3 linked regions of the Lepisosteus oculatus genome follow. The protein of the gene in region 3 purifies or fractionates together with the protein of the main gene of each other region. This does not show direct contact. Links are inferred from orthologs where the notes say so. Each region holds a gene or a part of one and is shown on either strand. Other genes may lie near its edges.

What was found.
Region 1: the proteins of SRSF protein kinase 1 (region 3) and drosha purify together in Homo sapiens (affinity purification with mass spectrometry; 3 studies listed by BioGRID and IntAct, counting the BioPlex papers as one, with this or other methods). This does not show direct contact. The link is inferred for Lepisosteus oculatus from reciprocal best matches to the Homo sapiens genes SRPK1 and DROSHA.
Region 2: the proteins of SRSF protein kinase 1 (region 3) and top2a fractionate together in Homo sapiens (co-fractionation; 3 studies listed by BioGRID and IntAct, with this or other methods). This does not show direct contact. The link is inferred for Lepisosteus oculatus from reciprocal best matches to the Homo sapiens genes SRPK1 and TOP2A.

The regions. Positions count from the first base shown.
Region 1 is NC_090701.1:6,467,741-6,475,930, reverse strand, and holds the start of drosha (ribonuclease 3), read right to left. Parts: upstream 3,233-8,190; 5' UTR 3,067-3,232; intron 1,879-3,066; 5' UTR 1,872-1,878; coding exon 1,009-1,871; intron 1-1,008. Other genes in the region: c6h5orf22 (UPF0489 protein C5orf22 homolog), read left to right, coding at 3,678-3,749, 4,254-4,399, 5,860-6,009, 6,771-7,233. UniProt on the Homo sapiens protein: Ribonuclease III double-stranded (ds) RNA-specific endoribonuclease that is involved in the initial step of microRNA (miRNA) biogenesis.
Region 2 is NC_090723.1:6,354,285-6,362,465, reverse strand, and holds the start of top2a (DNA topoisomerase 2-alpha), read right to left. Parts: upstream 3,354-8,181; 5' UTR 3,140-3,353; coding exon 3,116-3,139; intron 1,770-3,115; coding exon 1,626-1,769; intron 1,086-1,625; coding exon 995-1,085; intron 653-994; coding exon 589-652; intron 65-588; coding exon 1-64. UniProt on the Homo sapiens protein: Key decatenating enzyme that alters DNA topology by binding to two double-stranded DNA molecules, generating a double-stranded break in one of the strands, passing the intact strand through the broken strand, and religating the broken strand.
Region 3 is NC_090700.1:36,074,584-36,082,215, reverse strand, and holds the start of SRSF protein kinase 1, read left to right. Parts: upstream 1-4,549; 5' UTR 4,550-4,597; coding exon 4,598-4,668; intron 4,669-7,632. UniProt on the Homo sapiens protein: Serine/arginine-rich protein-specific kinase which specifically phosphorylates its substrates at serine residues located in regions rich in arginine/serine dipeptides, known as RS domains and is involved in the phosphorylation of SR splicing factors and the regulation of splicing.

The sequences.
Region 1 (8,190 bases), on a different chromosome or scaffold from region 3:
TTAATAATACATTCTCATTTGTTTAACTGTACATGATGAAGATTTTTGTTTCTAAAAAAACATTTTAAAATTAAAAGGAGACAAATTACATAAATCAAGTCAGCTTCAGCTGTGTTCACAAAAGTGCTGTCAAGCACCACCCCAGAGGTTGCTTTCCTGCAGAGTTGGATAACGCTCTTCCGGCAGGGCAGTACAAGAGCTCTGAGAAAAGTGCTTAATAAAGATATCAACCATGGAAATTATCTGGCACTGTACTGCAGTACAACTATGTTATTTAGAGAAGATGCAGTATACGGAAGTCATTCAATACCAGTAGTCTTAAAAAGCCTGACTACATTTAGTAGTCCATTAGAATGTGGTCAGAAAGAAATGAAGGATTTACCTTTTTTGGACTTAAATAAAAGGAAGGAAATTTGTGACTTTGAAATTGTGGTGAAAGCAATCAAAATCCTGAAATACTGAAATTCTGATTGCACATTCCCCTATTTGGCATGATCAGGACATGCATCACTTGCAAAATAAGTGATACTTAATAAATATTACTTGTAAGCCCTTCATATCTGAATCCTGGAGAGGAGGGATCACATCTTTTCTACCAAGGCAGTTTATAAGAACTTGAACAATTACAACTCAATCTATTACAGATATATTACACTATAACAATCTATTCTGATGGATGTGTTGGAGAAAATCGCAGGAAAGAGAAACATCACATATTCTATACATCAAGTACAAGTACTTGTTCAAAACATCAAGTGTCCTATAAGAAGTCTAGAATTAGAAGAGACAGGGGACCTCTTAGCTCGTTATGAAACAATGAAAGACACTTACATTACACAACCCTATAGGTCTGGGTCACATTTTAGCTCGTGCATGCTATATTTTAAATCCGATACATAAAATGAATAAAAGCGGGCCCTGGGTTTCAACACTGATGCATTTCAGTGTGCGCATTTAAAGGATATCCATGCGTCGACGATGTGCACGTGCCAGTCGAGCTCAACTTACCTGCTACGTTCCCGACTCCTGTGCCGAGGCGGCGTCCTGCCTCGCTCATGCTCGGACCTGTGGCGGCTCCCTTCCTGCCTCCGCCTGTCCGGGCTCCGCCCCCGGTCCCTACGGTCCCCGCCGTATTCCGGCCTGTACCTGTCGCCGTGGCCGCCGTAGCTGTAGCCCCTGTGCCGGCGCTCCTCGTGCCGCCTGCTCCTCTCCGGCGACCTCCGGTCGCTCTGGGGCTTCTCCGGCTTGTACTGGCCGCCGTGCCGGAACTGGTCGGCCTTGAACGAGCCGGAGCCCGGGCCGTAGCCCGCGCCGCCGCCGAAGCCGGGCGGCGGGAACGGGGGCTGGGGGTAGCTCATGGAGTAGGGAGGCTGGTAGCCCAGGGGCTGCGACATGGAGGGGGGCGCAGGGGGGTGTGGGGGCGGCAGGGGCGGGGGCGGCGGCAGCGGCGGCACCGAGGGCATCATGTAGTGGTAGGAGCCTTGAGCTGAGGCCGCCGGTCCGGGCAACAGGCTGGCGGACGAGTTCGGCAGGGGTGGAGGGGGGAAGTTCGGGGGTCCGGGAAACCCCTGCCGAATCGGGGGGTTGGGGAAGGGGGGGCGAACCGGGCACTGGTTCAGCGCACTCTGACCCTGGGAGGGCACCGGCGGGGGGTACGGCATGAAATCGGGACGCGGAGGTATGTAGCCAGGGCTGCCCTGACTGGGATATCCGGGGCACGAAGGCGGCGGCGGCGGCTCGTAATGGAAGGAAGGCATGGACTGCTGCGGAGGAATCTGGCGCAGGTTCTGCGGCCGGTAGCTCTGCGATCCCCCCCGCTGACCGGAGGAGACTCGTCCCCTGGGACAGCCGCGCCCAAGATGGAATGACATCTTGATTCTTAAAGAGAGGCAAAAACAACACAAAAACAACAAGCATTACATCTCACTAATGGTAGTAACAGCAGTCAAGAAAGTCAACAATAAAAGGTTTCAACAAACGCAATTCAACAAAAAGATTCTATGATGGACTGCACTGCACTAGTTATACATAAAAACTGCTAACTAGACCAAAATGTTGAGATCTTCATGTAGATATATAGAGAATATATAGAGGATAAGTCTATAAAGCAGTGTGAAATAAAAGATCATCTTTATTTTTAGACTGAACACTGTTAGAAATAAGAATGAAACTGGTGCCCAAATCTGTTTCGATTCCCCACACACTAATGTATTTTCAATTATTTGGTTAAACCTAATGAACAGACCTACGCAGCAATAGGAATGCCTCTTTTTTTTTTTTAATCAGAGTGCTTGACAGTATCATTCCCAATTCTGTCTGCGCATTGTTAACTGACAAACAATAAGAGCTGTTTAGAAAGCAACGGGAGAGCAACAGTTTTAAACCAAGTTAAAACGGAGTTTTGATCACTGTATTTCGTGGAAATGGCAGGCATAAAGCTGATCATATTTAAGTCTACATCCTGTATGGCATCAAAGATGTGATGGTATCACTGTAATTCATGGAAACGACACACAAAAGGCTGCCCGTATGTGAGTCTCTAGCCAAAATGCGAAAAAAAAGGTTAAACATCGAATCAATCAAATATTTCAATGAAGTGGTCTATAAGTTTAAATGGCTGAAGTGCATACTGTATGTTAAATACGACGCAAAAAAAGAATAAAAGTTGATGCTGGATTTCTATATTGACGTATTTCATCGTGCCCATTTAAAGTGTGGGACTGCTACCGATGTCCGGCATCGTTGTGTATCAGTATGATTTGCTGTTTAAAAGCGCCATAAATAATTATGAGCAAGATTTTTTTATATATAAAATAAAAATACCGTCAACAATGCTGTGTGTTTCGTGACTGCACCATCTGACTTGTATAGGTAAATAACATAAATTCGTTCAAATTGACAACATGGGGGGAAAAACATTATTGTAGCCTGAGATATTGTAGCCTGTTCAGTTCTTAATATAACCGAGACAAACTAGCCTATCGCTTGCACGTTTTTTACGTTTTTTTTTTACCAAAGCATACAACGGTATAAAGAAATTCAAAGCTGCATGTTACAGAAACTTACCTTTAACGATAAAATGTTTAGAACAAAAGACAACGATCGCCAGTCTCCAAGAAGAGTTAAAACGATTTACCTAAAAGAATTGTTGCTAGCAAGATAAAAAGTTTGGTCATTACCCTACATTTTACATGTGTATCGCCGCTTCAAGCTCAGCACCATAATCTCAACAGGAAATGATCCCTGTTGATATCGGCTCGCCTTCCTTTCCTCTGAGCGGATGCGACGACTGGCATATTCCGGTTTGTAACACGCAATCACTTTAAAACAACAGCTTTTCAGTTTTTTAGCTTCTCGACTCTGTACCATGTATTCCTAGCAACGCATAAATCTAGCCGCTGCCTTCATGAGACAAGGGAAACTGGAAAGATGTTTTAAGATTTAAACAACCGGGGAAGCATAAGTGAAGGCAACGTGTTTCATCGCGGCGCAAAAGACCGAGACGGACGACTTCGGCCCAATCGCTTGCAGAGACGGGACAGCTCCACCAATCGCGGCTAGGAAACGGCGTGTGTTACACTGAGACGGGTCCCCCGTCAACAAGGCTAAAATAAACTGCAGGCAGGCAGAGAGCAAGTGGTTTGTTTTTTCTTTTTTCTTTTTTTTGAGGAGGTGGTATGAATTCCACTCAAGCGCCAAGTAGAGTTTATAAAGATGTCCCCGTCTGGATAGTGGAAGATCATCATGATGTGAGTACCAGTTTCACTTTTTTTTAATCTAATTGTCTGCGTTTCCTTTCCCTGCTTACAGCCTTAATATATCCAGCTTTCAGAATACGAATTGCAAATTGAAAGCAATAGTTGATTGTAAAATACAGTCTTAACCCTGTAGTATAATGAATACCGAAGACTGTACAAAGAGGAATATTGTCATCAATATGTATTTATGCTATTTATAGCCTCATGTATATACACTGCGAACTGTGGTCAGTTTTGTTTAATCAATCCTGTAAGTGTTCCGGGTAAATTCATGTAATATATATATATAGTTATAGTTTAAGACCCTCACAAAAATAAAATGCGAATAAAAAAATACATTTTGGACATTACCAGCTATTTTCCCGAAGAATAAACAGTACTATTAATGCTACACTGTTGTAACAAAGTACAATTATGGGAAAGCCGACAGTTGACAGATCACGTTGCTCGTTTTACAAACCGCAATTGCAATCTCTGCACTTTATTCTAATACAGGTGCTACCTCACATCTATCGCGCCATTGGCTCCAGACATTTACCTATAAAGAACATCAAAATGATCCATTTAGATTCCCACCCCGACCTGCTTATTCCTGTCAACATGCCTGCTGACACCGTGTTCGACAAAGAAGAGCTGTTTAGGTAAGATGTGTTCATTGGTCACAGATATTCTGAAAGGATTGCAGGAACAAACATGATAATGAACATGATGGTTGTTTTTTCATGAACATCTTACCTGTGGTTTGATAGCTGTGCGAGGAAAAAAAAAAAGAACATATGTCTCTCGCTGTCTCTTCTCTCCTGATCCGAACACTGATTGTCTGTCCATGTGTCCCATTATCCAATTTCTAACAGCTTCTTCCAATTCAGGGTTTCCATAGAGCCAGAACCTATCCCAGCAAGCAGCAGGCTCAAAGGAGGGTACATCTTGGACTGGGTGCCAGTCCATCGCAGGACGCACACTCACATCTAGGGCCAATTTTCCTGGATGCCAATTAACCTACCAGTATGCCCTTGGAAGGAAACTGTCACACCCAGAGGGAACCCACGCAAACACGTGCAGAACATACAAACTCCATGCCGATAGCACCCCAGGTTCAAAATTGAACTCAGGACCCCAAGCACTACGAGGCAGTCATGCTTACCACTGCGCCACCCTGCCGCTCTGCTTTTAGCTTGCTGTGGGACCGAATCACCCATGCAATATTAAGTTAAATAGTGTGTTCCTTTTAAGAAGTGTCAATTGCTTGCACATATTAATATTAATTTTAAATGAAATTAGCCTTGTGTCTGTGTAGTTCATGAATTTGTATAAGTCTCTTTATAAAATCTTTCTGGATATCTAAATATTTTGTACTGTTTGCTACTAAATTAATCATTTAGGCTTTCCACACCTCTCATCCTGTTATCCTCTAGTTTCATTCTCACCTGCTTTATGCCCATTTCCCAACTGCTCCCCGTCCCTTTCACCTACTCTGTTGTTTTGTCCTGCTATGCCATATTGATCTGCTACTGTACTTTCTCTCCCTCCTTCACACCTGAAGAAGGCTCCACAGACCAAGTGTTGTTTTTCTTTCCCTACCTTTTAGCAGCGAATGAACCTCTACCTGACCCTTTTAAATCAAGGCTTCTCTACTATGTTCATCACCTGTTCGAAGAATTCTAGCAAGAAAGTAAAATAAGACATTCCTTTCTAATCTTTGCTGTTTTTTTTAAATGCCACTGCTTTCTTAGTACTCTCCCACTTTATTTCTATCGCTACCACAACTTGGCGACTGTAGCAGAAGACTAAGGGGTCTATATCGGATTTTTTTCAATGACTCATTTCAAATAACAATTTCATTTTTGTTTCACGGTATTGAATTAAGTGCATTCAAGTATTTTGTATTTCATGACTTTCTTTCCACAAAGCTTTTAACGTTTAAAGCTGAGTTATAATACCTGATATATTTTGTTTGCTGGAGTCTGTAGTTCAGTAATGTTTGCCACGACCCGAGGAGCTCTGTAATAAGTAGGCATAAATTCTTAGGGGAAAAAAGCCATTAATCTGTCCCCTTGAATTTTAGTCTTAAACATTATCTGATATTTTAATATCTTTCCAGTGAGCTAAGTATTGAGAATTGGATTATGCCCATGGTGTATGCAGGGCATTTATCTAATGTCCTATGGCTTCACCCTTCCTGGGCACAACAGATTACAGAGGGGGAGCACAATATGTCGGTTGGGAAGGATTCCTCTACAACAACAATCAGGTAAATTCATAGTACAACATGTTGATTTGGCATTGTTTTATATCGGCTATGTAGGCTATGTGATTGCTGGTTAAATGTACAATAACCATTGTGCTACTAATACATTAGAATATGGCTAGAATTCACTGTTTCAACCAGTTAGTTCATCAATAATACATCTCGAAATGTCACATGTTAATGGCTGGATGTGTAAGTGTTTATTTTCAATGGAAATGTGGAAAATGGACATATGGTATAAAAAGCGGTTTGGCAAATGACATGACATACATCACAAATTACTTTACTTTTTTTTATTTATTTGCCTTTTTATCTCTAACGCTCTTTGTTTTTCATAATGCCAGGTTTTTCTTTCTGCCTGACTTTTTACTTTTCGTCAGTCTGTTTTTTGTTGCTCTTTCATTTGGTATTTGAGCTTGTCCCATAATCTTCTGAGGAAACCCTTAAAACAATTTTAGATGATGGGCTCACAAGATTTTCTCGTTCAAATGCATATTCAGCTACACGGCCTCATGATTGTGCTCCATGGTTTCTCAGTACACTTACTGGTCCATAACATAATTTCTAAACAACTGTTAGCGCAACATTGAGCTTACTCTTCATCTTGACACAGGTTTTCTTAGCACTTTTTCCTGTTAATCACGATGATGCATGCACAATATAGTGAGAGATAAGTTCATTCTTCATGTTGCAGTGGCTCATACCTCGTCCTCTGCTGAACAATATAACAAGAAACCTTCACATTTTTTTTCTGTGTGTCTCAGGGTGACGAGTAAAGATGATTATTTTTTAAGCGATGGGCTCTATGTCCCTGAAGATCAGCTAGAAAATAAGAAGCCTTTACAGCTGCATGTTGTCAGAGTTATCCCAGTGGAAAATGCTTGGAAGCAAGAGGAGGAAACCGTGGAGTGCGCTGCTAAAAGACCTAAATTACAGCCTTCGGGTGGGCTGGATGAAGTTGAGTCCTTGGCAAAGAAGACACCTGCAGACATGAGTGTGGAACCAGCAGGGGGCAGCAAGTCCACCACAAGTAGCAGTGGCCATGGAGAAATAGCACAGCCCAGCAGAGGATCTTCTACCAGCTGCCTTTCAAAAATCAAACTGGACTCGGAAACAGACCCCGTGAAACGAATCCTCCCAGTTATCCAGCAAACAGATGCTTACATTCTGGATATTGACCTGGATTTCTTTTCATGCAAGAACCCCTTCAAGGAAATGTATACCCAGGTAATGGCAAAGATATGTACCTTGGGTTTCTTCGGTCTCTTCCACAGCCAAAAATGTTTTGAATGCGGTGAAGTGCAATATAATCACAAAGATTGGGTTAGGTATCCACTCATTTTCTAACCACTTCATCCAGTTCAGGGTTGAGGGGGAGCCAGAGCCTGCCCCGGCAAGCAACAGGTGCAAGGCAGAATACAGTCTGGACCGGATACCAGATCATCACAGCGCACACTCACACCAGAAGCCAAGTTACCTGCTAGTATGTCTTTGGTCTGCGGGAGGAAACCATGCAGACAGCACCCTAGATCTGGAATTGAAATTAGGGCCCCAGCACTGTAAGGCAGTAATGCTTACCACTTTGTCACTGTGTAGGATATTGTTATTCTAATTAAGTTATTGCTATATTAGGGGGATAAATATAGTTATGAAAAGTTAGAGGGTATTTATATTAAGCCAAATATCTAGCAAAAAACGTAAATTATTAGTCTGTTAAATCGCATTTAGTTCCAAGTCCACCTTCCGTTTCTTAGCTAAATTGTCCATATATCTGATGATATTTATGACCATGCTTTTGAAAACTTCAAGGACAACAACATACAGATGCTTTAGTGTTTTCCTTTATACCATGACAAATGTACATCTCTGGCTGAGTCAAATATGGGCCTTTCTGAAAGAACGCCACGGGCCTCCAAATGAAGAGAACGTGTCTTTCATATCCATGGTGATTTGTGCCATTGTCGGGCCCTCCTCCATTGACTGTAGGCTTTTTATTTTGGAATACAGCATAACATTTCGTATTCTCTAGTCAGCTTTAGATTTTTTGTAGGACTTGCATTTCTCTTTTTTTATGTATTCTGCCAGAAATATGTGGATTTTTGTTCTGTCACTGATATTTACTAGTACATAAGTCTCCATTCTATTGTAACTGTTATAACCTAATGCCGCCTACAGTTTTACTGA
Region 2 (8,181 bases), on a different chromosome or scaffold from region 3:
CACTTTGTGCTCGACCACAGGAATGCCCTTCCCGTTGTTCCACACGCTGATGGCGTTATTCTCACTGGGGACAAAGTCCACACAGAGACCCCAAGTAAATACCCAGCCGCCCTGACCATATACAATAAGATGTTTGTCCCTATAAAGATGGTTCCAATTCCTCCTGAAATTTAATTCTCAAGGAAGCACAGCTTCCCAAACAAACATTTTGATCCAGGTGATAGAAAGGATTTCCGAGAGTCAGTGACACTCAAGTGATTTTTTAGAGGTGTGTCATTGATAATTGTTTCCATAATAGTGTACTAGTGTAGGAATAAGTGTAGCGGTGGATTACAGGGCAAGTATGTGACTAAGGCAGGGTTTGCGAAGCCCAGTGGCTTTTGATTTTTCCTCCAATTAAGTCATTTACTGTTAAATGATCCAGGGATTTATTTAACTTGAGCTTTTTCATGGTTTTCAGTTCCGAAACCACAATAAAATAAAGTATCTACATTTGAAAAAAACACTCTAGGTACTGAAATGTTAAAATGTTAACGCTAAACTGTCGACTCGATTGCACCCTTGACTATATTCTAGAACATCACTCACGGGTCAATGTTGATCTTGATGCAGGACATCTTCTTATCCCGCTGTTTGTTATCTGCAGCATTCACTGGAGAAAAACAAGATCTTAGATTTAGGCTTTTACTTATTTTTCAAACAGAAGAACAGATTTTCTAGCTCAATTTTCAATAATCTTGAAAAGCTGTGTTTAATACTGTTGATCATTAATATGCACAGAGTCAAAAGGATCCATGGAAATATCCTCTTACGGCAATGTTAGAAAACAAATACACACCGTCCATTATCCTGTGGCGCTATGAAAAAGATCAATGGCTCAATGCTGTATGGTATAACAATGTCCGGAAGAGAGACACATCTTTGTCAATTAAGCACAAATTATTACAGCAGAAGGCTACTCTGACACCACCTCACATTATTGATTAGTACCTACCAAGGATTTCATCAAAGATCTTGTACAAGCCAGGAACAAAAGTCACATCTCTGCAGTTCATTCCGATTTCTTCATCCATCACCCACATTTGCTAGAAAAGAAGGCCATCAAAACTTAGTTATCTATTGTGGAACATCAAACTGGGGCTCTTCAACAAGATTTCAGTGTGAGCTGATTGTTAGTTGACTGGTGCCACAGCCTTCATTCAATGCAGTAACATTGCAAAGCATGCCGGAACTCTGCATTAGGAAACATACTAGAAACTAGGGAATCCACCATAGGCTGCATTTCTTACTGGACTGTCCAACTACAGCAGGTTCTCAACATCCACAAGGGTTCAGTGCAGAGAACCATCACAAACAACCAAACTGACATATAACCTTGTACCATTGCATAATGTACTACAGTTTAGAGTACACATGGCGAAAAGATATGAGACACCCTCCCTTAAATGATCACGAAAGTATTAATGCACTAGCTTTGAGTTGACAAAAATAACATCCATCCACTAAAACGGGGTAATAAACAGCATGAATCCAGCCTCTGCCTACACTTTCCCGGATATATAAAGAGCTGCCACACTGCAAACTGCATGGCCAGGTGCCTGCCCGCCTGTGTCACAAGTGCTCACCTGTGTCACGGGCTCCACAGACCCGATGTAGGTGTCGGGACGGAGCAGAATGTGCTCCAACTGCGTCTTCTTCTGGTAGATCCTCTCCACAGACAGACGCTTATCATCCTTCGCCTTGCTCACAGGCTTGTTCTCAAACATCGTCTGCAGGGGACACAAAAGGGCAAGAGGTGGGCGACAGCAATTTGGCTTTACAAACGCGCCCTGTGGACTGGTATTTAGAATCCCCGTCTGGGAGAGCCACTGTCCAGCGGGTTTTAAAGATCCACAGCAGGGAAAAGTTCTGGCAAAAGAGCTTAAATGAAGCCAATTACCAGTTCAATTGTATTATTAATAGGTGCGCTGGAATGAAAACCAGCCCTGCAGAGGTGAAGTTCGGTTTACCGTTTAGCTCATGCCATCAAGGAGTCTGAAACGGTTTTTAACTTCCCACAGGAAAAGTGCTGCATGAAATGATTGTGCCTTACTCTGGTGTCGTAAGAGAAGAAAGCGATGCGTGTCAATGCCACAGGCGGTAGGGATTTAAAAAGATTTAGGGGGACGGGACGGACTGAAGTTCGGCTCGCTGCCACCAGATTGTAAACTTGACCAAAAAAAAAAGTTAACGGACAACGCTCTTCCGCCCCGCTCGTCCCAGACCGAAGCACTTAACATTTGCAAGTGTAAATAGTCTTTCGTTTCTGTACACAAGAAAGACTAGACATCCCATGTAGCAGCTGCGTTCTATTTAGTCAAACCCCACAATATTTACCCCCAAAATTTATAATTGAAATATCTCGGAAAATTCTTCGTCCCAGATACAATGCCTGTCACTGTGGTAATTAAGAAAGGTTATCAAAACGCCGAACTCTACTTTCCTTGGTTCCGCTGGGACAGTAAGATGAGAACTGGTCAATAATTCAGTTCTTGCAGCCGAATAAGTAAAGCAGAAATCACGGAATCGTAGTTTTAGGGAAATCGAGGTAGGATGACCGTCAGGGGGCATGACAAACTGAGTCCAGTTCTCGCCATTTTGTAAGCACTTCAACGACCTGGGGACATTCACGATCTGAAATCTGATTTTCATACCCATCACCGGCTGCGATCGCAGGCTGCACGCAAACAGGACAATTTACCCTCGCCAGAAAAGAAAAAAGAAAATATGTCCCAAGACGAAATCGAAAGCACTTATCTGGAAAACTTTACATTAAAATAATATTTTAGCATTGGAGGATTGGAATGCGGTCATAAATCCAGTTTTTTACTGTTCTGATTGTTTTCATAATCCCAGATTAAAAACTCCCTCCACCCCGCAAGTCTTTTTGCCTTACATAACGGTTTTGAACATGAATGTAAAACCGTGTTTATTAGCCCAAATGAAATAGAATTGTTTAATCGTGCACAGACGAGGAAAGAAACAGGTATATAATATTTTCAAGTAAGCATTCGGCTCCAGATTTCGGTTTTCCCTCCACAGATACCACCAGCATGCTCGTCGACATTAACCTTACCTTCAGCGTTCCTTCAGAGGCCATTTCTTAACTATTCGAGCGGTATTACAACCTATATAAAACAGAGAATGGCTGTTTTACTAAAACAGATGAATAAAGCTAAAAATATCAACGCTAACAAAACCCTCTCAACCGAACCTAGCACTACACTTTAAACCTCTACAGAATAACACTGACTACCACAACCGACAAAGAGCCAACCCTTCACCGAACTGCATTTTCAAATTTAAAAATACGTTTACATTGCGCTTCAAAGATTGACCAATCAGATCCCGCGAAGCCTACTGACTTCCGTTTGAAATTGTTTTTTTTTCGTGGCTGTTTCCGCTCAAGTGCTGTCATTGACCAATCACAGGACACAGCAACATGTTCTTCGTCTCACATTGGTTATCGTGGACAGGACGGGGCGGTGCGTCGCAAGTTGAAATAGCCAATCACATCAAGAGAGGAGAGTAACCAGCATTGGTTTCGCGCTGAATCGTAGGTTTAATAATCTTTAAGCAGCTGTAGGGTTTTTTTTAATAGCTTTGATCCAAAATGCACTACGATTGTGCAAAGCTGGACTTTAAACGTTGTTGTTATAAGATTTTTATTTTGTTTGTGCAGTTATGTATCCGTACTTTAAACTGTATGCAGTAACGCTGTATGTAAAAAGACTTCCCCCGAATACAGGACTCTATATTATGACTCCATGTGGAAACCTCTCTGGAGCTTGAGAACACGTTATTTGCCGCGGCAGGACCAGCTCGCTAGCATAATCAGGAAGAAATGTCGACTATGTGTACCGATAAGGATATCCGATAGATGGCATCGTGTTCCAAGCAAAAGTTAACACGTGAAGACCAGCAAAAAAAGCTATTTCTCGCTGTAACCCCCCGTCACTGTACGCTCTCACCCCACCCCGTTTGTGTTTATCTGTGGAAAGTAATTTTCACCAGTCTGGTCACCCCCCATTTGCAACATTATTATTATTATTAGGAACAAGTAATAGGTTTATTCCATTCTGAAAAGAAGAAAGAAAACAACGTTTCGGCCATGGAGCCTTCTTCCGGTGTGAGCATATTATTATTATTATTATTATTATTATTATTATTATTATTATTATTATTATTATTATTTTATTATTATTATTATTATTTTATTATTGTTGTTGTTGTTACCATCCTCCTCAGCCTTTGTGACTGTTGTTTTTTGTTTTGTTTAATATAATATATATTTAGCTCATGACTAAACGTGTCCGTGGTCTCCTCTATATATTATAATTGTGTTTTATCTTGTGTATTCTTCTTATTGTTGTTGTCATCCTGCAAAGCACTTTGAGAAGCCACCTTTAAAGGCGCTATATAAAATAAAGTTTATTATTATATATTATTATTATTATGACATGGGACTCACTGTAACCTCAGTCTGGCCTGTAACCATGTGCACACTGTCTCCACGCTGAGCCCACTGTCTGCACTGTCCTCTCCCTGTTCTCTGAACCCTTCTTCCTTCAGTACTTGTGTTTTACAAGTGAGCTATTTGACAAAGTGGCTGAGAGGCGCCTGGAGATTCCAGGCTTGTCAGAGGTACTGTTCATCTATCTGTTTGATAGCCACTTTCTCCAGTTCACAGTGTGCTTGCCCAGCACCTTCACATACCAGTTTCAGCCGGATGTGGGAGCAGGTCAGGGCCTGGGCTTATTAACGCTGCCGTTGGAGTATGCTACACACATATCTACGCCTGCATCGGGCCTGCTCGTCCACTGCACTTGGGCGGCCGTCCGATCGCTGGCCTGAGAGCCCTGGCTCGGGCAGGGGATGTTTTCTGTCAGCCCGCGTGCTCTGTTAATACTGAGTGACAGCTGTGGGCCCCGTGCTGATGCCGGAGTGAGCAGGCTCCAAACAGCGGAGGGGCTGTGCTGTGGATCCCAAGGGGGGCCCTGCTGATCCTCAAGGTCAGGCTAAATTTAGCCCAGGCAAGGTTGCTGATAGAAGCCCATCCCAATGCGTTGATGCTGATCAGCGAGGCCAGACTGCAGTGCTGCAAGATGGCCACTCAACACAGCAAAAGCAGATCTTCCTGGGACACACTTTATTGCTTGATGTCATTAGTTCTGTCTGGCCCTCAGCCCTTGTGACTTGGTGAAGGTATTGAAAGACAGGGTTATTCTGAGATCCTATCTTACAGTACATGCCTAAGGATCTTTGTTTCGTGGGAGACCTTTATTGCAGCAAAATGACATTTAGATAGATGGTTTGCGGTTAGGAAAAAAAAAACCATTGCATACCAGTTTCTCCTTGCAAGTGATTCCAAAATGTCAAAAACAGCATCTCAGAACGCAGAAGTCATTGACATTTCCTTTTGAAATATAAGCCATTTCAAATCCTGAACAGAACACATCATAGATGTGGCCATTTTAGATGGGTGTTTATTGTTTTGAAAGTGTGCTTCATGATTTCATGATTTAAAATGCCAGAAGTGCAGGAGAAAGAAGCATTAGAATACGTTTGATGTCACAGTGCCCCCTGCTGGAGGGATCAGTGTCTCAGGTGCTGTCAAGCAGTTGCGTTCACTTTTATTGGAGGTTCCCAAGTGTCCATCTCACCTACCATCCCTCCTTTACAGCACAGCTAGAGGGCACACGTCCATGAATTTTCAAAACTGCTTTCCTCCGATTTTAACTTCAATAAAAAGCCTACTGATTGTAATTGTGATTGTAAGACGCCTTTAACTATTTTTAATCTCCAGCGGAAGCGCACAGTGCCTTTGCTTGCACCGGGCACTGTAAAATTCAGCCTCAGTAAGTCCAAGGAGGTGCCGGAAATGCCCGGCACTGGTCGGAAAGGAGGTCAGTGCCGACCAGTGCGGGAGAGATGGCCGGGGCAGTCTCGGATTCAGCATTGATCCACTCCTGACTGTGGGCTGTAACACAGCGAAGAGTAGACCCTGGGAAAGCACCACAGGAGCGATGAAAATGGACGGGGAAGAGGCCGGGCGGACTGCTATCAAAGTCCTCCCTCCCTTGGTCAGGCAGCAGAGCAGAGCTCAGCCCGAGAGTGCAAGACTGAGCAAGGAAGGCACAGACTGCATCAATAACAGAGTCCAGCCACTTGACGGCTGTGGCCCTGTGCCATGACGATCCGGCACTCTGCACTAGACTGGAATCCATTGTTTGGCCTGACAATGGTATCCATTATTCCCAGCTGTCAGAGCTGGGGTGGGGTTAGCATTGGAGTGAACAACAGAGTAGAGTTATATTTAGAGTCACAATAAGGTTTAGGGAGAAAAGCTGGATTACGCTCAATAATGGCACAAACTTAGAGTTAGATTTAAAGTTATGTTTAGCCTTAAGGTTCTGGACTGGGTTTGGGCGTGGGATATCCTAAAATAGTTGAAGGCGACAACTTTAAATTTGTCTAGAACCCCCCCCCCCAAAAAAAACAAGCAGGAAAACCAAAAGCATGTCCTGTGGTGACATGCAAGCAGCAAAGCTGAAATTGTTTTCCCTGCAATTGCTCCTTCAGGCAATTATGTTATTCATCCTTGATGTTGCGCTGAAATCTTTCTCTCTGCATCTCTAATGTATTCATTAGCTGTTTGGATGTCATTATGCAGCGTGCCGCCAGCGGATATTCAGGTTAGCAAACCGTCAGGATCTTGATGATTGCTGCACTTACTATTAATAAAATATTAGCTGTGTTTTGCAGTGAAGGTGTTAACCCTTCAGTTTCAATAGCATACCGCTTCGTTAATTTCTGAACCCCTATTTTACCGCGGTCTGCTTTTTCCGCTCATTCTGGGGCTCTTTCACTCTTCGCCAGGAGTGCTACACTTGTTGGACAAAATATTAGGACCCCCCCCCCTGCTGCAAACACAGCAGAGGACGTAGCTTGTATTCTGCAAAATTCTGATCTGTTTGCAGCCCCCATTCTTCTTCTTCTTAATGTATGCGTCTCCAATTGTTCTCCTTATATCCACCCAGCCTGGAAGAGCTAATCATGTGTTTTTCACATTTTGATGCCCAGCTCACGAACCCCACAACCGCACACAGGGAGGAGAGAACGAGAAAGGTGGGGCAACGCCCTCCGATCCACCCACCTCTGAGCCGCTTGTCTTAAAGGCATCCAAGGTGCCACACTGCCCCCTGCAGGAGAGGCTGTTTACCAACAGCCCCGTGAGCCTGCAAGTCCCTGGGAGGCCACAGGGGGTCACTGTCGCTAACATCCAAGACCTCTCTAGCTGACTAATCCCCCTTCCCCACCCTCTGCAGCTCTCGGCCAACTGTTCACCACCATTCTGGGATTCCCAGACATCCCAGCATCCCAGTTAGTGACCTGACCCGGGCTCGAACCTGAGGTCACAGAACTCTACCTAATGCTCAGGCAAGCATATTACCATTTGAGCCACTGAGCCATCCCCCAGCTCCTCTAGCTGGGTCACCTTCAGTCGAGGTTGTGATACTGTGTGTTCAGAAAGTCTGGGGATCGAAGTCTGTCTCAGGCTCTTCATGGCCTGCATCTTTGACTGGGGGTGGGGGTTGCTAATATTTTGGCCAGTGAGTGTGGAATATGGCACACAAGTTTGTCACTGCTTTAGAAAGGCTCCTCACAGCTGTCAACGTCAGTATTTTTCATAATGTTGTTATTTATTTAGTGTAACATGCAAAAGTACAAATTAACACGCACAAATGCCTTGGGATTCTAAAACAAGATGGAGAACTTCAGTTATGTGGGCACAATACATTCAAGCAAAAGATTTGTGACCTGCTCATAATACATATTGTAACAAACACATACCTTGAGTATCAGCAAAATGATGCCTTCTAGCAATAAACAAATTAATGAATTATAAAATAATTAATCAAGACTCCTTTACCCCTGCATTTGTGAATTTTATCTGGTTTAACACCAAAGGAGTGTCCAACCTCCACTGTGGTCTCCTTGCAGAGGAATGGTGAAAGGGAGCAACAGGAAAGGAGTTTGATTGTAAATTGCACATCAGAGGGATAACAAAACACACTGTCACCTCAGCAGAGCAAATAGCACATGCAAACATGAGTGTCACTGAGCAGTTTATTTTTCTTC
Region 3 (7,632 bases):
GGCTTATTGATTATGAGTAGATTCTTTTCCTTTATTTGAAGCTTGAGAAGATCACCTGTTTAATGCATGCAATCTGCATTTTACTGGGTAAAACACTATTTCAGTCTTTGGTGTGTGTAGTGTATTGTAAGCTAAAAAAACAACAAATGAAATGTACTTTCCCTGCTTGAGACTGACATGGGAGCTATTTACAATTTAGAAAACAAAGATCTGTGAAAGAAAAACTTATTCTTTTAGCCTTTCTGGATTACTCTTTATTCAGTTTTAACTGAATATGTGAGTCCCATTTTAGACTAGTCAGTACAGAATAATGTGGGATTTTGCAGAGAATTGCCTTGGTTTTAGTGCCTTAGTAGATCTGTGCAAATTTAGATTTAGGATTATATACTCTTATGTGCAGCTACAATTGCCTTGCTTGAGCTTTAGGTATTTCTCTGACCAAAAGCTTTGATCTTACAAATCAGTTTCTAATTCTTTGATAAAATGTATTAAACATAAATTCCAGGACAATTGGGATGAAATTGAAATCCATGCTTTTGCAGCATGTTGTAGAGACGTGCCACTAAGTGTTGAGTCCAGAAACACGTCTCTCAGGTCCCATAAATGTGCTTGTTGGGGTGGCCTTAGACATGGTCTCGAGGGACTGTGGGAACCATTGTCAGTGCCATATCTGAGGTTCTGGGATGACGAGGGTTGTAACTGCAGTGAGCTTTTTAGATGTTTTCAGTCTGCGCAAGGCTGCCGTCTGATTCCACACAGCTCAGCACTGTGGCTTTGCAAGAGACAATAGTAGAGGCGTTTCAGATTGTGGCTGAGCTGTGCCTGCTCGCTCTCTTTTAACGCCTACCATCCCCAGCGACTTTTGTTGCGCACGGAAGTGAAAAAAAAAGTTATGTCTGTGAAGGGGTTGGAGGGAAAAAAAGTTATCTCCTTGCTAGCAAAGGCTTGACTCGTGTGTTGGTGTAGTGCTGGGTGCTCATAACCAGGTTATGACGAGACCCAGCCTCGCTGTATGTAGCATTTTTTCCTTATGGCACAAATTGTCCCTCCTTTTCATCTATGAGTTGGAATAGTACGTTTGCCACTGTAAGTTGAGCCCATGCTGCTGAGAGCTTGCTCAGGCCTGTGGCATCGAGGCTGAACACATAGGGACAGGCCGCCTGGCAGCAGAAACAGTCTTAATTATTGATGATGGTCGTATAAAGTAACATTGTGGAAATATGTTAGCTCATGTATTAACTGGGGTGCTGTCCGACATTCCTGTCCTGTGAACTGGCTTGTTTTTATTGGTTAAAAAATTTGAATCGATGTTCAGGTTTGTCTCCAAGGCGGGACTAGCCCTGTAAGAAAAAAAAAAGTTGCAAATCCTTGGTAAACATTGTTGCTCCCATAGGTGCTGAGCTGTTTTGCCTCGTTCTGGGGTTCTGTTTATTAGAGCAGCTGAAATCGATTAGTCTGTTCTGATTTAGTTTGCAAAGAAGAGTTAAAAATAGGCTATTAAGAGTTTGCCCTCTTACAATTTATTCATTTTCTTTTTCTTAAAATATGTCTACTGCATAAAGTCTCAACCCTCCTGGCCTAGAGTCCTCTCCTCTGTCCCACACTGCTGCTGTTTGGATTACTTTATAATTATAAAGTATATATAAGTTATATTTTAAAATCCACTGGAAAATACCATGCTAAATAATTCAAAGCTGTTTTGATTGACTGAGGTCAACAAGCAAAATAAAGCTTTAAGGCACAGGTATATGTGACCAAGTGTTGAGACAGTCTTTTGTTTATTACTCCTGGGGACTCCCTAGTCAATATCAGTTCTTGCAGCTGCAGCTGTTCCGTATTCATTAGTGCTAATCACCTCAGTGACTGTCGGTCTATACAGCTCTTCAGAAAACTCAATGCCCCTTTTCAGCTGTAAAGCTCCCATACAAAATGTGAAAACCCATTTCAAGCTGAAATCATGTTATGAACATTTTAGAACACTTCCTCGCTGTTATCTTTGATCCCACCTGTCCATCTCGTGCTTTATGTCCTGGTATTTGTTTTCTAACTGTCCGGGAGATCAAGATCACCACCAATCAAATGTATTGTGCTACATTATTGTCTAGCTGGACAGCAAATCGCTTGCATGACTTATAAACACAGCATCCGTTTCACTGGCTGTGAGGGATAAATACATGCCCAGATGAAGTTCAGAACAGACTGGATTGTCAGAGAACACTTTGCACATGGGCTTTACATTAGTGCTACAACTTGGTAAAGGACTCAGTGAGCTGAGACCATGTATTCTAGGTTGTTTTTTTTGGGGGGGAAGATTTGATCTAAAGACGCGCTTAGCACATTTGATCATAGAGTATATTTTTATTTATTTGCCTGTCCCTGTGTAACATTATTCCTGTGTATGTGCTTTATGTAATACCTTTTATTTGTAAAGTGCCTTTCCTAACCCAAAGGTGCTATACATGGTGATAAAGAGAAAAAAAAGAACAGAAAGTAAGTAAAATGAAACAAAAACATGCAGGATAAACTGTAAGTAATCAGATATAGGCTCCTAGAAGGTGAGTTTTAAGTTAAGGTTTAAAGAGAGTCAAAGAATTTGTCTCTCAAAGAATAGGGCATTTCATAAGAATAGGACAGGGAGAGAAAAGTCTGTGGTATAGTGGAGGGCACAGTGAGCAAAGGAGCAGCCTGAATGGAAAGCAGCCTACTGGGGGAGTACGGAGAAGCATGACAGGGCCCGGTTATTTACAGCCTTGGAAGTCTGATGTATGCCAATGTTACTGTACATCAGGGGTCCACATCGCGTGGCCTGGAGGGCCACTGTACCTGCACACTTTCATTATACCTGAGCTACCATTTGTACTTCATTATTGAATTAACTGGGCCAGTTTGCATATAAAGAGGTCAAGAAGAGCACTGCTGATGTTGGACTGCGGAGCTCAAGAACTGAAGCAACAATGCATCTAAACTAGTTTCCAACCTCCCATCTCTGTTGGAGGCAAAGAAGGATTTTTCCTAGAAACCTGCTGTGTACAAGCATGGCGCACCTCCCAAATATCAGGGGCGTGTGTTCCCTCACTAGCTACAACTACGGACATAATGGCCAGCTGGCTGTTGTACAAATGGGAAGACAAATTTCACCGTTGAATTATGAATCCCAAAGCTGTTGAAATTTCGTTGACGAACCTTTGACCTCAGGGACCCTTTTTCAGGGTTTTTCCAGCATCGCGGGCTTGAAAGGCACGAGACCTGGCCCTGGCGGGAGGGTGGTGGTCGAGGCCCGAGGTGCGGTCTGTCCGCGGTGGCCGCGGCTACGCAAGCGTTGTGCGTCTTGTATGGTCGTGCTGCAGCAAGTCCTCGCCCGTCCTGTTTTTCACTCTCTGGGCGCAGGTGGGCGTTCTCTGGCTGCAGGTTTGCCAGTGCTCATGAGCTCCGGCAGGTGTGGCAATCGCAACCCTTCTACCTGGACAGGGCTGAGAAACACGTCCGTCCTGGGAACACGTGAGGTCATAAGTAAATGTCACAGGAGGATAAAGTGGGAGCAGTAAAAAAAAAAATGGTACCCTTTTCTTAGTTCTTGCTCTTTACCTTCTGTAAATTTTAAAATATCCCTCATGCATGCGTGTGGTGCAGTATAAAAGGCTTGTAGCTTGAAGAGAATGCTAAATCCCATTGCATTTGGAGGTCATGCTCCAAATTTATTTTTGTGGCAGGGAATCTGGAATGTTTTTGCTCTGCAGGAATCATTCCCAGGGGCTCAAGCTCGTCCCTGCTTTCCGAGGTTCAAGAGGGCTCGCGGTGTTCCAGGTCCAGTGAGCATTGCTAGCAGTCTTTGAGTGTCTGTTCTGATGAGGTCGAAAGCGTGCTCTCTGCGTGTGGGGAATAAGGGGGGTAGGGCTATGGGCAGGCTGCGGGGTCTCTGCACTGGGCACTGATAATAAGTGCCGTCCCTTCAGCCCAAGCCAAATAGACCTCATTCCAGCTGAAATGTGTATTTCTTTTGCTCTCCGTTTTGTCTGCTTGGCTGAGCACTGCTCCTGTGGGAGTTACATAAGCCTGCCCACAGGCCAAGGGGCCTAATAGAAGATGGCATTTGATGCCGCTTGATCTCTCCTGTCTCCAGTCCTCCCTTCGTCTCACCCCTGAAATGTATTGCTGGGCACAGTACCCCAGAGCGTCTTTGCTCAGGCTGTTGCTGAAGCGCTGGTGAGGTTGTAAAGTATTGTTTTGCCTTTTGGGGATATTGAGTAAGCAGAACCTGTGTGCTGTATCTGCAGATCTCTCTCTCTCTACACAAACAGAAGCGTTCCTGCTGAGATGTGCGCATAAATTAGGAGAGCATAGATATATATATAGATGTTGTTTTTGAAAGTGTTTGCTGGCTTCCCTGCTCTAACCCTGCACCTGCGTACCTTTCTTGCTGTCCCACGACACCACTGCCTGCCAGTGATCCAGCCCGTGGACTATTCATCTAATAACCCCCCCCCCCTCCCTTCCTCTCTCTCCCCTCCTCCCTCTGTAGTTTTTAAGGCACAGCACAGCAGCGCTCGGAGGAGAGAGTGCACGCTCCAGCGCTGGGGCTGTGCTGTGCGGAGCTGGCATGTGGTTGCTAGACTGGATCGTCTCGCTGAACTCGGCGGTGGTGAAGCTCGCCAGCGGTTTGAGGTGCAAGTGAGTGAGGGCCAGGCGGTGGGCAGGAGGTGTAGTGCTGGATTGATTCATTTTCAATAAGGCAAGCGAGCGACAGAGTGGGTTCAGCCTGGGAGCGGGGTTCGGCGAGAATGGCACTGGTTTCTGAGCAGAGCTGCAGTTGGCATTTACAGCTATAGTCATGCAGTGTTTGTAGTTTTAAATGTATGTATAGCACCCTCTGCTGTGTTTTTTTTTTTGTTGCCAAAGGACACTGCTTATTTACTGATATGTGAATTTTTCTTTTTTTAATAAGCAGGTTTATTTAATTTTTGTTCCCTCTGCTAGCAGTGTTGCTGCGCATGTTGTCCTGAAGTGGAGCAGCCCTTCAGTGTTATTTTCCCCTAGAGATGGCAGTTAACGGGGAGCAGTCTTCCTCCCTCTTCCTCCTACTCGCTGTGCCTTGATTAATGCCTGATTAACCAAGCCTGCATTTTGACTTTCAGACAGTGTAATTGAATCTTCTGTCCTCTCCTTGCTTTGATTGTGCATTTGACTTGGTCCAGTACTGGGCTTCTTTCATCTGAAAAGCGAGTTCTTGGTTGTTATGCCGGAGACGTGTCTCTTCACAGCTGCGGTGTTGTTTAAATGCAGACAGTCTCTTATTTAATAGGTTCCAGTTTTGCTCTAAATTAACCAGATAGACCGAAAGCACTTCTTGTCCGGACAGCCATGGTGCTGGGCTGCAGCTGTCTGCATGCATACCAAAGCCGAATAGAAGAAGTGTATTGTGAGCATCGCTCGTGTTTTCTGTAGCTGTAGTGTCCAGGGGGTTCCTAGTGTGAGACAGCTGTGCTGATGCCTGGTGCAGTGGGATGGTTTTAACAGTTACTGGTGTCATGGCGAAGGGTTGTTCTTGCCTTTCCCTCCTGAAATGGCTTGCTCAGCCCCTGCACCCTTTGCGTGACAAGCCTCTTGCGGAAGCAGTCCTGCTGCGGTGCTGGAAGATTGTAAAGCACAGCAGGAGTTGTCAAGAGGGGCCCATTCTGCGGTTGTGCTTTTTAAGGCCTGTGCAGTGACCCTCCAGCTCTCCCTTTTTGGTTTGCGTGCTGTGTGCTGCTGTACTTGAGCCTGCTCCCCCAGAGCGCGGCTGAGGTGCGCTCCCAGCGTGAGCTCCTTATCGCCTGGGGGTGCAGGGGGGGTGAGTGTGGGTGATTGGCGTCAGCACAGCCGCGTCTCTCTGCATCTGACCATCGCCCCCTGGGCTTCTCTGGCTGAGACCGAGCCTCTGCTGTGCTTTTCACACTCCTAAACAAACGCTGCTATCCGGAGGCATGACATCAGTCAGTGACTTTGTACACAGCCATTCTTGTGCAGCACTGCTCAGTTCCTCAGAAACTAAGCGTCTTGCGCCGGTGACCTGAGAGAGATGGATTCACCTTTGATGGCTGATACACGACAGTGTGCAAGATTCATTGTGCAGCACAAAATGAAGTGTACCGTGAATCTACTACCGTGTTGATGTCATTTGTTGCCAACACAGCTCAGGACAACCAGCTTGTATTGTATACACGATTGGCTTCCTGTTTTTTTTTTTTTAAGGTTGAAGCAAAGCCAGGACGATGGAGTTCCAAAGAAGTAATTGCATTGATTTAATTAATGTTATAGAAGTGTAACAAAAATCACAGCGCTTGTGGAGCCAGTTATCACGGTGCTGAGCAACTGGCACACACCTTAAGTAATGAAGTAGATTAAATTCTGCCGGCTGATTTGTATGCTATATGACACCAGCTAAAACAGTGAAAATGCTCATGGTTGCACACAGAGTCATTGAGTCAGAGAGCATGCAAGCTCTGTGTTCTGATCACCCCATCCTGGTCCTGGAGACCTGTGGGTTTCTGTTCCGCCTGCACTCGGTTGAAATAATTGAACCTTTATAGGTTTCATTTGAATTCTTAAATTGTTTCCAGATCCTATACATGTAACATGTTGCCCTTTAACGATTGCATTAAACATCTTAAAAACTCCAATCCTTTAGTAGAAAAACTTACAAAGTTTCTAACCCAAGCAGTTTGTTGATTCAGTTAAGGTTTCTGTTAAATTAAAGGCTCAGCTTGAATGAAAAGTCTCAGATGTGTGGGTTCCCAGGGCCAGGATTGGGGATCTCTGGCTCGGATGCAGTGTCCTAATGCAGGGATTATGTTCAGACAATCCTATGTATTGGTAGACTGATGCATTGCTGTAGTTTTACTTGGCCGTCATTTTTTCGCACCCTTGCGACTCTGCTTTGTGTGCCATTTTCAAGAAATATAGTTAGGCCAGTTGATTTCATTTGGTTTAAAATTCTCTCTCATGTCACTTTCGATACAGCTCTTATTGTCTACACATTAATCATGTGCAGACACAGGAGGGAATGACTGTCAGACCCTCTTGCGATGGGTGTCTTAGTGCTGCATTCAGCCCGTTGGTTAAATTAAAAAAAGTCATTGAAATAATTAGCCATAACGAGAAGACAGCTGTATCCCAGCATTGGGCGCAGGTGTGATGCTAAGTACTAACCTCATGCGCGACAGCAGGTACAGCGTTCCGTCTGGGAGTCATGCAAAGAGCCATGTGCCCTTTGGCTCTGAGTTTTAACTAGAATTGTTTCATTTTCTCCTTACAGAACATGCTCTGTTTAGAGTCTGTATCCTTGTTCAATTTGGTCTAGGTGAAAAAAAAAACATCCAGTTAAACAGTTAATCTTGTAAGGGCACCTAGTTTTCCAGCCTTCAGAATTTAACTGTGACTGTTGATTCTGGGTAAAAAAGACTTTACAGCAGTTTCATTATTAATGAGCTAATGTTGAAGACTGATGGAATATTGTTAAAATAATGGAGGCCCAAGAGTATTGTTTTTTAAATTCTCCAGTAAAAATTAAACTGATAAGTTAAAAATTCGTCCAGTACTTTCCTGGGTGGCTGTATGCTTCTTGGTCAGTTTTGGGAGAATACAGTTAGTTTTCTT